Drosophila melanogaster: one gene and its partner. The protein of the gene in region 1 interacts with the protein of each later gene in a pairwise test. Each region holds a gene or a part of one and is shown on either strand. Other genes may lie near its edges. The genes, in order: CG3548 and Arp10.

Evidence for each region.
Region 2: the proteins of CG3548 (region 1) and Arp10 interact in a two-hybrid assay, tested with the Drosophila melanogaster proteins (2 studies listed by BioGRID).

What each region holds. Positions count from the first base shown.
Region 1 is NT_033778.4:24,598,253-24,603,144, forward strand, and holds CG3548 (uncharacterized protein), read left to right. Parts: upstream 1-1,694; 5' UTR 1,695-1,795; coding exon 1,796-2,133; intron 2,134-2,208; coding exon 2,209-2,728; intron 2,729-2,856; coding exon 2,857-3,360; 3' UTR 3,361-4,115; downstream 4,116-4,892. Other genes in the region: CG13587 (uncharacterized protein), read left to right, coding at 1-181, 239-581, 647-839; ATPsynF (ATP synthase, subunit F), read right to left, coding at 1,001-1,245, 1,365-1,443; CG3565 (uncharacterized protein), read left to right, coding at 4,270-4,659, 4,717-4,824, 4,886-4,892.
Region 2 is NC_004354.4:19,644,031-19,648,387, forward strand, and holds Arp10 (Actin-related protein 10), read right to left. Parts: upstream 2,147-4,357; 5' UTR 1,887-2,146; coding exon 1,816-1,886; intron 1,756-1,815; coding exon 1,603-1,755; intron 1,553-1,602; coding exon 640-1,552; 3' UTR 501-639; downstream 1-500. Other genes in the region: Sec61gamma (Sec61 gamma subunit), read left to right, coding at 1-63; Ranbp21, read right to left, coding at 3,545-4,357.

The DNA of each region.
Region 1 (4,892 bases):
CAGAGGTCCTTTGGCAAGCAGGGCGACAAGGAGCAGCGCATTCGAAGTCGTTTGAGTGTCTTCGAACAGCCAGGGGAGTTCTTCAACTGCCACGTCCTGAAGTGTCCTCAGAATAACACATTTTCAGGGATGGTCAATGACAGTCGCTTCGATTACTACAGCTTATATGGAAGGCCAACAGGTTAAATGAAGTATCTAGCGTATCTGTTTGGTTGAATAATTTTGTGGTTCTTGCTAGTCGTAAGGAACTACAGCTGCATACCGGAGGTTGGGCTGTTCGTGGTGTATACTCAGCCTAGTGCCTACTTGAATGCCTCACTGACCTGTTCAAACTCCTCGGAGTTCACTGGTAGTCTGGCCCACATCGCATCCGAACACAGAACCAGTTTATTGGCCCAATGGCTAGTGGAATTCAACAGGAAATCACAGTCTCTGGCAGAAGGTAATGTCTATCTGGCCTATGTGGGTTTGGCCTACAACAGCTCAACGTCATTGAGCCCACTGGACTTCAGGAACTCCCAAGGGGAGAGCTTGCAGTGCTTTCTTTACAGAGCCTGGGATGGTGGTCATCCTCGAGTTGGGTAGGCTGACAGTTTATTAGGTTAGCCGCCAATGCTATCTTCTCTAAATCTAACCGAATTTGCAGTGGTGATCTGGGCAACGCCAGCTGCGTGGCCTTGACGCCGCAGGGAACCTGGCAAACCCTGAACTGCGACCGGGAGCTGCCCTTTATCTGCGAAATCCACACGGCCCGGTCAACTTTCGGCTGGGAGCAGTCCAGTTCCGAGCTGGACATCGGCCCAAATGCAGTCTTCGAGTGCGGAAGAGACCGAGTCTGAGTCTATGGCAGCATGGATATTCGCAGCCGTTTTATTCACTTAAGCAGTTTTCAAAACACAAAAGCCAAATAGATATAGTTTAGTGGTGATTGCCCGCCTCTCGCACGCCTTGTGGAAAGTGTAGAATCTGTTGCAGATGCAGGACCACCGGGCAGCGCCGCTTAGTGGTACTTGTAGTTCCTGTGGTGCTTCAACTTGGTGTAGTTAATCAGATAGAAGAACGTCATGCTGGCGACGGTCAGCTGGAAGAAGGGAGCGATCCCGGCGCGCTTTGGGAACACGTACTTGTGCTGCCAGCGCCACCAGGCACGGCTCACAGCTCCGGCCACAGCGTTGGGGGTCTTGTTGCGGCGTCCCAGCCAGGCGCCGATCTCGCCCAGCTTGACCTGGCCGAAGGGCACATCGGCTGCGGATCGGAGAGAGCGGAGAGGTCGGAAAGTTGTTTAAATTATGTAAAACGCTGCACATTTTTGGGCAGTGCAAATGTGCTCTGTGCCTGCCGCAAAAATTACGTAACCTGCTCACCTTTGCCGTAGAAGCGAGCGGGGTCGTAGGGCCCGTGCACCTTGGGGTTGTACTCAGCTGGATAGTCACCGAATGCCATCGCGCTGGTTTGGTTGAGATATATTCTTAAATCGGATTCTTATGAAACATAAAATTACGCCTGCTACTTACTTCCTTCGATACTGACAGTATGACCAAAGCGGCGAGAGCTGGGATTTTCATCGACCAATATACCGAAATATACTATGTGCGAATTTATTGTGTGCGTCTCCGCTAACAGGGAGGATGTATTCGCTACGTCATCGATACAGCGAATATATCGATGCCCGATGCACGATGCACTTCTCACATCACTAAGCTCCAGTATATACAGAAATCAAATAGGATTTTTGCAAGCCTGGGCATTCGAATCAGAATCCAGCCAAAGCGAATCCAGTGTGTAAACAAAAACAATGAAACTGGAGGAGTTGCTGACCAAGGGAGCCTCCTCTCCGCCGGAGGACGACGACGAGGACGAGAAGGTGGAGCTGAAGCCGCAGAAGTCAAGCAGCGCCACCGCGGACGAGGGGGCGGAGAACGCGGAGGATGCGGCCGAGGATGCTGGCGAGAAGGAAGGCGCGGGTGGCAAGAAGAAGGGCACGCGCAAGAAACGCTCCCTTAACTGGGAGGAGGCGGAAAGGGGGCTGCTCCTTGAGGTCATCAAGTCCAAGGTGGCCTTCGTGGAGAACCGGAGCGTGGACGCCAAGAGCATAAAGGCCAAGCGTCTGGCCTGGTCGCAGATCACCAAGCAGTAAGTTGCGCCATTGGGCAGTGGAGCTCGTCTTATAATGGCCCTTCACTCCTTCCATTCCAACCCCCCATCCAGGTTCAATGCCCTTAACTTCCGCCATCGCCTGCTGGAGCAGATCCAGGTGCAGTGGCGCAGCATGAAGAACTCCGCCAAGCGGGAGCACCAGCAGAAGCATCCGAAAACGGAGGCCCTGGAAGGCATGCGGATGATCGAGTTCCTGGAGGAGATGCAGAAGGATCCGGTCACCTCGCGCAGTCAGACACGCAGCGCGAACACAAACGGCGCTCTTAAGAAGGAGCTCATGGACATCGACGAGGACGAAGACATGCCGCTGGCCGCTCTGCCCAACTCTACGAACGCCAGCGAGGACACGCTGCAGACCTCCACAATAGCCATCCCCTCGCCGCCGCCCTCCACTGCTGGCGGAGACGGGGACTCCCAGCAGGAGGGAAATCCCGCCCAGCTGCCAGCCCAGCGACGCAAGCGGACCAAGGCCAAGCAGTCGCCCTCGGGCGCCAAGACAGAAACGTCCGGCGAAACGGGGGAGGAGAACGAAAAGGGCGTAGGCCCACCACGAAAGCGGCGACAAAGGAATGTGAGTTTGAACACAAGCCGCAAGTTTATTTATTATTATTAATTAAGGTTTAGCTGAACAAGTTGCAAATTTTTGTGAAGGGGAATCTTAATCTTTCTTACTAATAATACTATCTCATCGTTAACCAGCTCTCACAGGCCCAGTCGCTGCTGTCCGACGAGAACGAAGCCTCCACCAACGCAGCTCCGAGCGCCACCCCAGTTGCAGACACAAATAGCCAGTCCTTAGATTTGGTCGCCGCCACGGAGATAGAGCAGAAGTACAAGCAGGACCTGTTTAGGCTGCTCAAGCAGGCCCGTCTGGCCGAAATCGACTACGCCCGGCGGGAACACGAGCAGAAGCTGCGCTTCGAGCAGATGGAGCAGGAGGTGAAGATGGCCTACTACCGGCAGGAGCAGGACCTCAAGCTGCGGCACATGCGCGAGGAGCACGACATCCGGCTGCGGCAGCAACGACGGGAGCACGAGGCGCGCCTGGGGATCTACTCGCTGAAGAGCGGTGGCCTGAACGGAAGCATACAGGATCAGAGTTCAGCAAAGTGCAATGCCAAAGCGGACTACAACAATGTCCACGAGGTCGGGCCATCGACCAGTGCGGAGGGGGCGCTGGCGCTCAATGCCGCCTGCAACTAGGGGCGTGGCTGTTGGCCCATATGCATATACAATACGAAGAGAGCCAGCAATTAGGGTGTAAGGCATTTAGAGGAAACATCAACAGTACTTTAAAATTTAGCTTGAAATATGTTTAGCGAAATGTAGCTCTTCCGGTCAGCCAGAGTAACCGGAAACGGAAACGTAAACGCCGGACGCGCATACAATACTCATCGACACACTCAAGTTGCCACTCGGACGAATGGACTGTTGTTTATTGTGCAATTCGCACGAGACGAACTCACAGGCATTGCATTTTCAAGAAATTAGTATTACATAATTGTATCCGTATCTGTTAAGTACTCCGGGCGAAGAGATCAATTCAAAATGCGGTTGTGTCGTCGAAAAAAAAACAAACTCGAAAATACTCATGCACAGACTCTGAATAAGTTCCCCTTTGCAGAACGCAATTTACTCATCAGTCAGTATTCTCTATGGCCACTGTATTATTTTTATACCTTCATTTGTTAGCTTTAAGTTTTTTTTACACAACTACTACTTATACTTGTGCTGCCACCAGTTGGGCTGCCGTAGTTGCAGATCAATGTATCCATTGTCCATACATTGCGAGAATCTTTTATAATTCGTCTAAGCATAAGTTACTGTACGTCGTGTTGTATAGCGCTGTAATATCCTGTCACCTGCTTCTGCTTAATTAATACCCTATATCGGGCGAGAGCAAGGTACGATTAAACCATTAGATAATGAAATACAAATACATAGTGTATAAACAGATGAACGACGTGCGTTTAAAGGGGGGTTCTCCGATCTCTCAGTCCCCGAAACAGGAATCAAAGTGGGCAACTCTGCAAATGCTTAGTATTTAAAAATCAAGGGTTCTATCAATATATTTCATCCACTTGAACTTTTAGAAAGCTGTGATAAATCGAAATGAAGGACCTGGACGGCTCCTTGGACACTCTGGAGAATGCCCGCTTCAACTACGTGTATATGAAGGACATTGCTCGCCTGGCAAAGGACTCGATCTTCTCGCATAACGAGCTGATTAGCATTGTAATGCTCTACCATAAGTTTGTGCTGGTCAATGGGCCGAGAGCAAAGTACATGACCATTCAGCAACTCTCTGCGCTGATGGAGCTCTTGTTTGAGATCGTGGATCGCGATCTCATTGCGACCATTGTGTATAGAATAGCCCATACACCAGGTTCCAGGCCTCCTGACTTCTTTTCCGACAAGCATATACACTTGGAGTCCTTTGTGCGGCTTTTCACCGTATACTTCACCAAAGATCTTCAGCTGAAAATGGAATTCGCATTCTCGGTGGGCAATTCATAGTATTCATATGAAATTAGCCTAGACCATTTGCTTACATTGCAGGTCTACGATAAAAGCGATTCCAAGCAGTTGAATGGCGAGCAAGTTGGGTTCTTCGTCGGCAAGTTCTTTGAGAGCGAGGATGAAGACGAATCCATTGAGCTGCGCTTGGTGAGGCACCATCCCCTACACTTGTTCCATTGAAACACTGACACATTTCGCATTCCTTCAGGACATGA
Region 2 (4,357 bases), on another chromosome or scaffold:
TTCATCGGCTTCTTCGTTAAGTTGATACACATCCCCATCAACAATATCATCGTGGGCTCTTAAATGCGCTGAGTGGCAAGGAAACCACCAATCATCCAATCATCCATTATAGCATACATCAGATCAACGTCTTTTTTTTTCGTTTAGTTAACATGCATTATATGTATGGACCATGTGCATTCAGCGAATGCCTTTCTAACAAAATTCTACACAAACGTACGAAAACGTATTGTAATGTTTCGATATTCCATTCATGAACAAGTTAGTTAATAAGATTCAAATGTAAAAAGGAATCACCCGTCTTCATAGCATTTGTTTGGGGTGCGCATCCCCGCTAATAAATGTTAAATTGATTTTCCGTGTACAAATGAGATTCTTTTAACTCTGAGAGACGCAACGTTACATTGCTTGAAGAAAGTAAAGTTGTAAATGAAGCTGATAAACCGACATCATCATTAGAACCAAGAATAAATGTCCAGAAAACGTACAAGCAATATTTTGTTTAAAGCTCGTTAGCCTATATTTCGTAAATATTTAATACCTATATATTACAGAATAATAATCAAGAGTATGTTAGTACGCGTAACCAGTAAAGCGCCGAAGCGTACATATTTCCATCTTCCGGGACTGCCCTCGAGTCTACGAGCCTGTCGGCCTATTATCGCACAGGTTGCTCCAGTCGGGAACGTGCTCGCTCTTTAGATACGTCTCCTTGACCAGCGATCGTGTCTGGATGAGATCCGTCGCGCCGCACAAGGCGCCGCCCAGCCAGGCAGTAAAGTTTTGCTTGCCGACAGCATTGAAAAACTTGAACTGCAGCTCGCCATGGAAGCGTTCGGCGTAGAACGGATCCTCGGTGAGCAGATGCTGCAGCTCCTGGCGGAGGCGGGCCAGCAGACCCTGGACCATTGAGCCGCCGCCCACGAGGAACACACTCTCGACCAGGGCACGTCGCACGTCTAGTGTGCAGTCGAGAATGGAGCGCAGGATGAGATGCGGCAGGCTGTCCCGCTCGTTGCTGGCCTCGAACATGATCTCGTAGGCAGACTCCCGCAGGAGGCCGGGCACCTGGATGACCGCATCGTTGTCGCTGACAATGTAGTCCACGTCTGGCGCGGGAGTCGGCTGATTCTCGTCGCCGTTGGCGCGGGCCTTGGCTCTTTCCATGGTGGTCACAAAGCAGGTTCGCACCTTGATGTCCTCCAGCACGCTTTCTGTTAGCAGGCTCTCCTTAACGCCACTCTCAACCAGCTGCCGCTTGATCTCCGCGTGGATGGCGCTGCCTCCGTAGCTCTGATCCTTGAAGGCGGCCATGATTTGCACCCCGCTGAAGACGGGCATAACGCTGGTCTCGCTGTAGCCAACGTCCACCACAAGGGCAGTGGGCACTGCCAGCGTAGACAGCGCAATGAGATGCACGGGCACGAACAGCACGGAGGAGACGTCGAAGTGGACAAAGAGCACGCGGGCCAAGGTTTCACGCAGCACAGTGGATCCGAACACGTTCTCCACCAGCACGAACTTGCGCTCCTTGGGGCTGACCAGTAGATGCCTAGAAGGAAATTACATTGCAATAGAAACCAAAGCCACCGAGTCACCTACTTGAAGAAGATCGTCTGCAGAAAATCCACTAGCTGGTCGTACAGCTCCTCCGGAGTGTCGTAGTCGAACAGACGCTTCCGGATCCCCGTCGTGGTCATCACCACCTCCGTGGGCATGATCTTGCGCGGATACGCCTCCGCTGCGAATCCCAGCCTGAAAAGGGTGCAGTGATGACTTCATACCACTTTCGCCGAATTATTTGCGTTTGCTTACTTGGTGTAGGCGGTGCCAATGTCGAGGACAATGGGCGGCTTCTCCTGCATCACGCTCTCGTAAATGGGCATCTTGGCTGCTGTCTGCTGGCTGCTTGCTCCTTTGCTGGACGAACCGACTAGACCATGGAATGGTATATTGTTCAGTTCGCTTAATTTTTGGCCAAAACAAGAAGTTATCGGTGTGCGGAAATCATCGATTGACGATGTAGCGAGCAAACACCCTGTTTCCACTAATGGCATCCGTTTTACTGGCACGCTTTTCAAATTTCTGGGTAACTTTAAAACTTTGCCTATTGGTTTGAAATACATTCAATTTGGTATTTTGGTATTTTATGGCTTTTAAAACCCAACAAGATAAAATTTTGAAAGTAGCTCGGAATCATTTGGTGTCAGTCGATTATTCTGCTTTTAAGAGGTCTAACTCTTACGTACAAATAGAATCAACTTTACTTTAGTTTATTGCAGTGTACATACATATGTATGCTTTTCAGTAAGTTTACAAAACTACTTTATCGAATTTAAGAAGTTAATTTCGCGAGTTTGAAGCTAATAATTATAATGATTCTTGTGAAATTAAATTCATATATCTTAAGAACAACTTTTGTTCAATATAATCGCAAAGTCTCCGGGCGCGCTTCGTCACTACATTAACTGCCGTCCACAGTGATGTTTTCTTGCATGGATATCGTCCTGTTTGAAATTATTATATTGCGTATTACTAAAACAAGTCGGTTCCACTTTGAATTTTTAAATTTATTTCAAATTTATCTGCTTTATCTTATTTCGATTTGTGTTTTTGCACGGTCGACCGCTTCGATTTCATTATGTTTTCTTAGTATCCTGGTGTGTTTTTGGGCTATAATTATTATACTGCATAATGCATGATGCATTCGCGGTGCGGGATGTGTGATCATATACAATTTGATGTATTATATAATAATAACTTTTGCCTATCAACTAAACCTAAGCGTAATTTCAGAAATATTCCTTCAAATGATAAATGTGTACAATTATATAAATTACATTATGCCTGCGCATAGGTAACTATACAAAACGAGGAAAGCACAATTCATTAAATAATTAATTAATTAACTATGTATAAAATGGTCTTCTGGCGTCTCTGCGAAGCACCTGGGACCTGGGGCCATAGGACGAGGGCTAAGGATTGCGGATTGACGGTTGTGGGCCGGAGTATTGCTAACTAGCGATTCTAGTAGTTCCTTTGAGCAAACAAGTTTAACAAATTTCGAATAATAAATAACAAAGCAGTAACAAGTCACGAGTCACCATTTTCCTCCAGAAACTGGGGGGGAAACGGTTCGGATCGAAGCGGTTGCGATGCCCGCATGAGACAAATTCAATAAAAAATTGCTTCATTGCGGGTACGCTTAAAATTTAGTTGTTAAAATAAATAAATTAATAACTGTAAGATCTGATTGGGAACTGGGACTGGGACTGGGACACGGACTGGGTCATGGTCTTGGACAAGGGCGAGAAAAAGTGCGAACTCATCGTCTAAGCTAATTTACAGTTACATTCAGTTCAGTCGTCGCTAGTTTGGCAGCTGAGGTGGCCGTGGTCTCGACATGCTCCTGATCCCGGTCCTCGACCAGGACAGAGGTGGTGTCACTGGTGGCGCCGCCTCCGCTGCGACGCCTCCTCCTGCTTCTCCTATCCTGTTCCTGTTCGTTTGTGTATCTCGTTTTCTGCTTCCGCTGCGCTCCGTGTCACTTCTCCGGCCCAAAGAGCCTGGCCAGACTCGCGTTCTGATTGCTATCCATGATGTCAGCCGTGGTGCCCATGGATCCCTTGGCCTTGTGCGACTGCATGGGCGGCAGATTGGCTATCTGCACCTCGTGCCGGAACAACTGGTTCACGCTGCGTCCGACCAGCTGGGCGGTCAGCTTTTTGAAGATGTCCTTCTTGGCGCGATCCACTTTGTTGCCCTTGACGGGCGCCACGGCAATCTTTTCGTCGAACTTTTGAATGTCGGCCGCATTCACGCTGGGGATATGCTGCAGCACTTCGCTGAGAATGGGGAACTGCGGACGGAGCAGCTCGTAGAACTGCACGCCCAGCGTCACCAGGCCCGATTGGTTGGCCTCGTGCTGACCGTGCACCTGCATGCCCTGCAGGACGGCGGTAAAGGCCGTGACGGCCTTGTTCTCGTCCATTAGTTTCTCGGCGGCCAGGAAACGCATCACGGGCGCTGCGATGTTGACAGCCTTCATGCTGCACATGCCGTCGTTCCAGGCGATGGCTTTTAGCAAGGTCATGAGCACATAATTGCCAATGAGTCCGTTGCGCAGCAGCTTGCCGCCCAAGTCGCTTATGATGTCCGAGAGCAGTGCCGACTGGATTGCTCGCGATTGCGGTGCGCTGTCCATCGAGTGCTCCTCATTCTCCATGGCCACAGAATTGCTGTTGGCATTGGCGCCAGCTGCCACATGATCGGCTCCAATTTGGCCGCCCACCAGCGCGATCTTTAGCACGTCCAAATACTCGCGCGTCAGCGTGCGATTGAGCTGATCCTCCAGCAC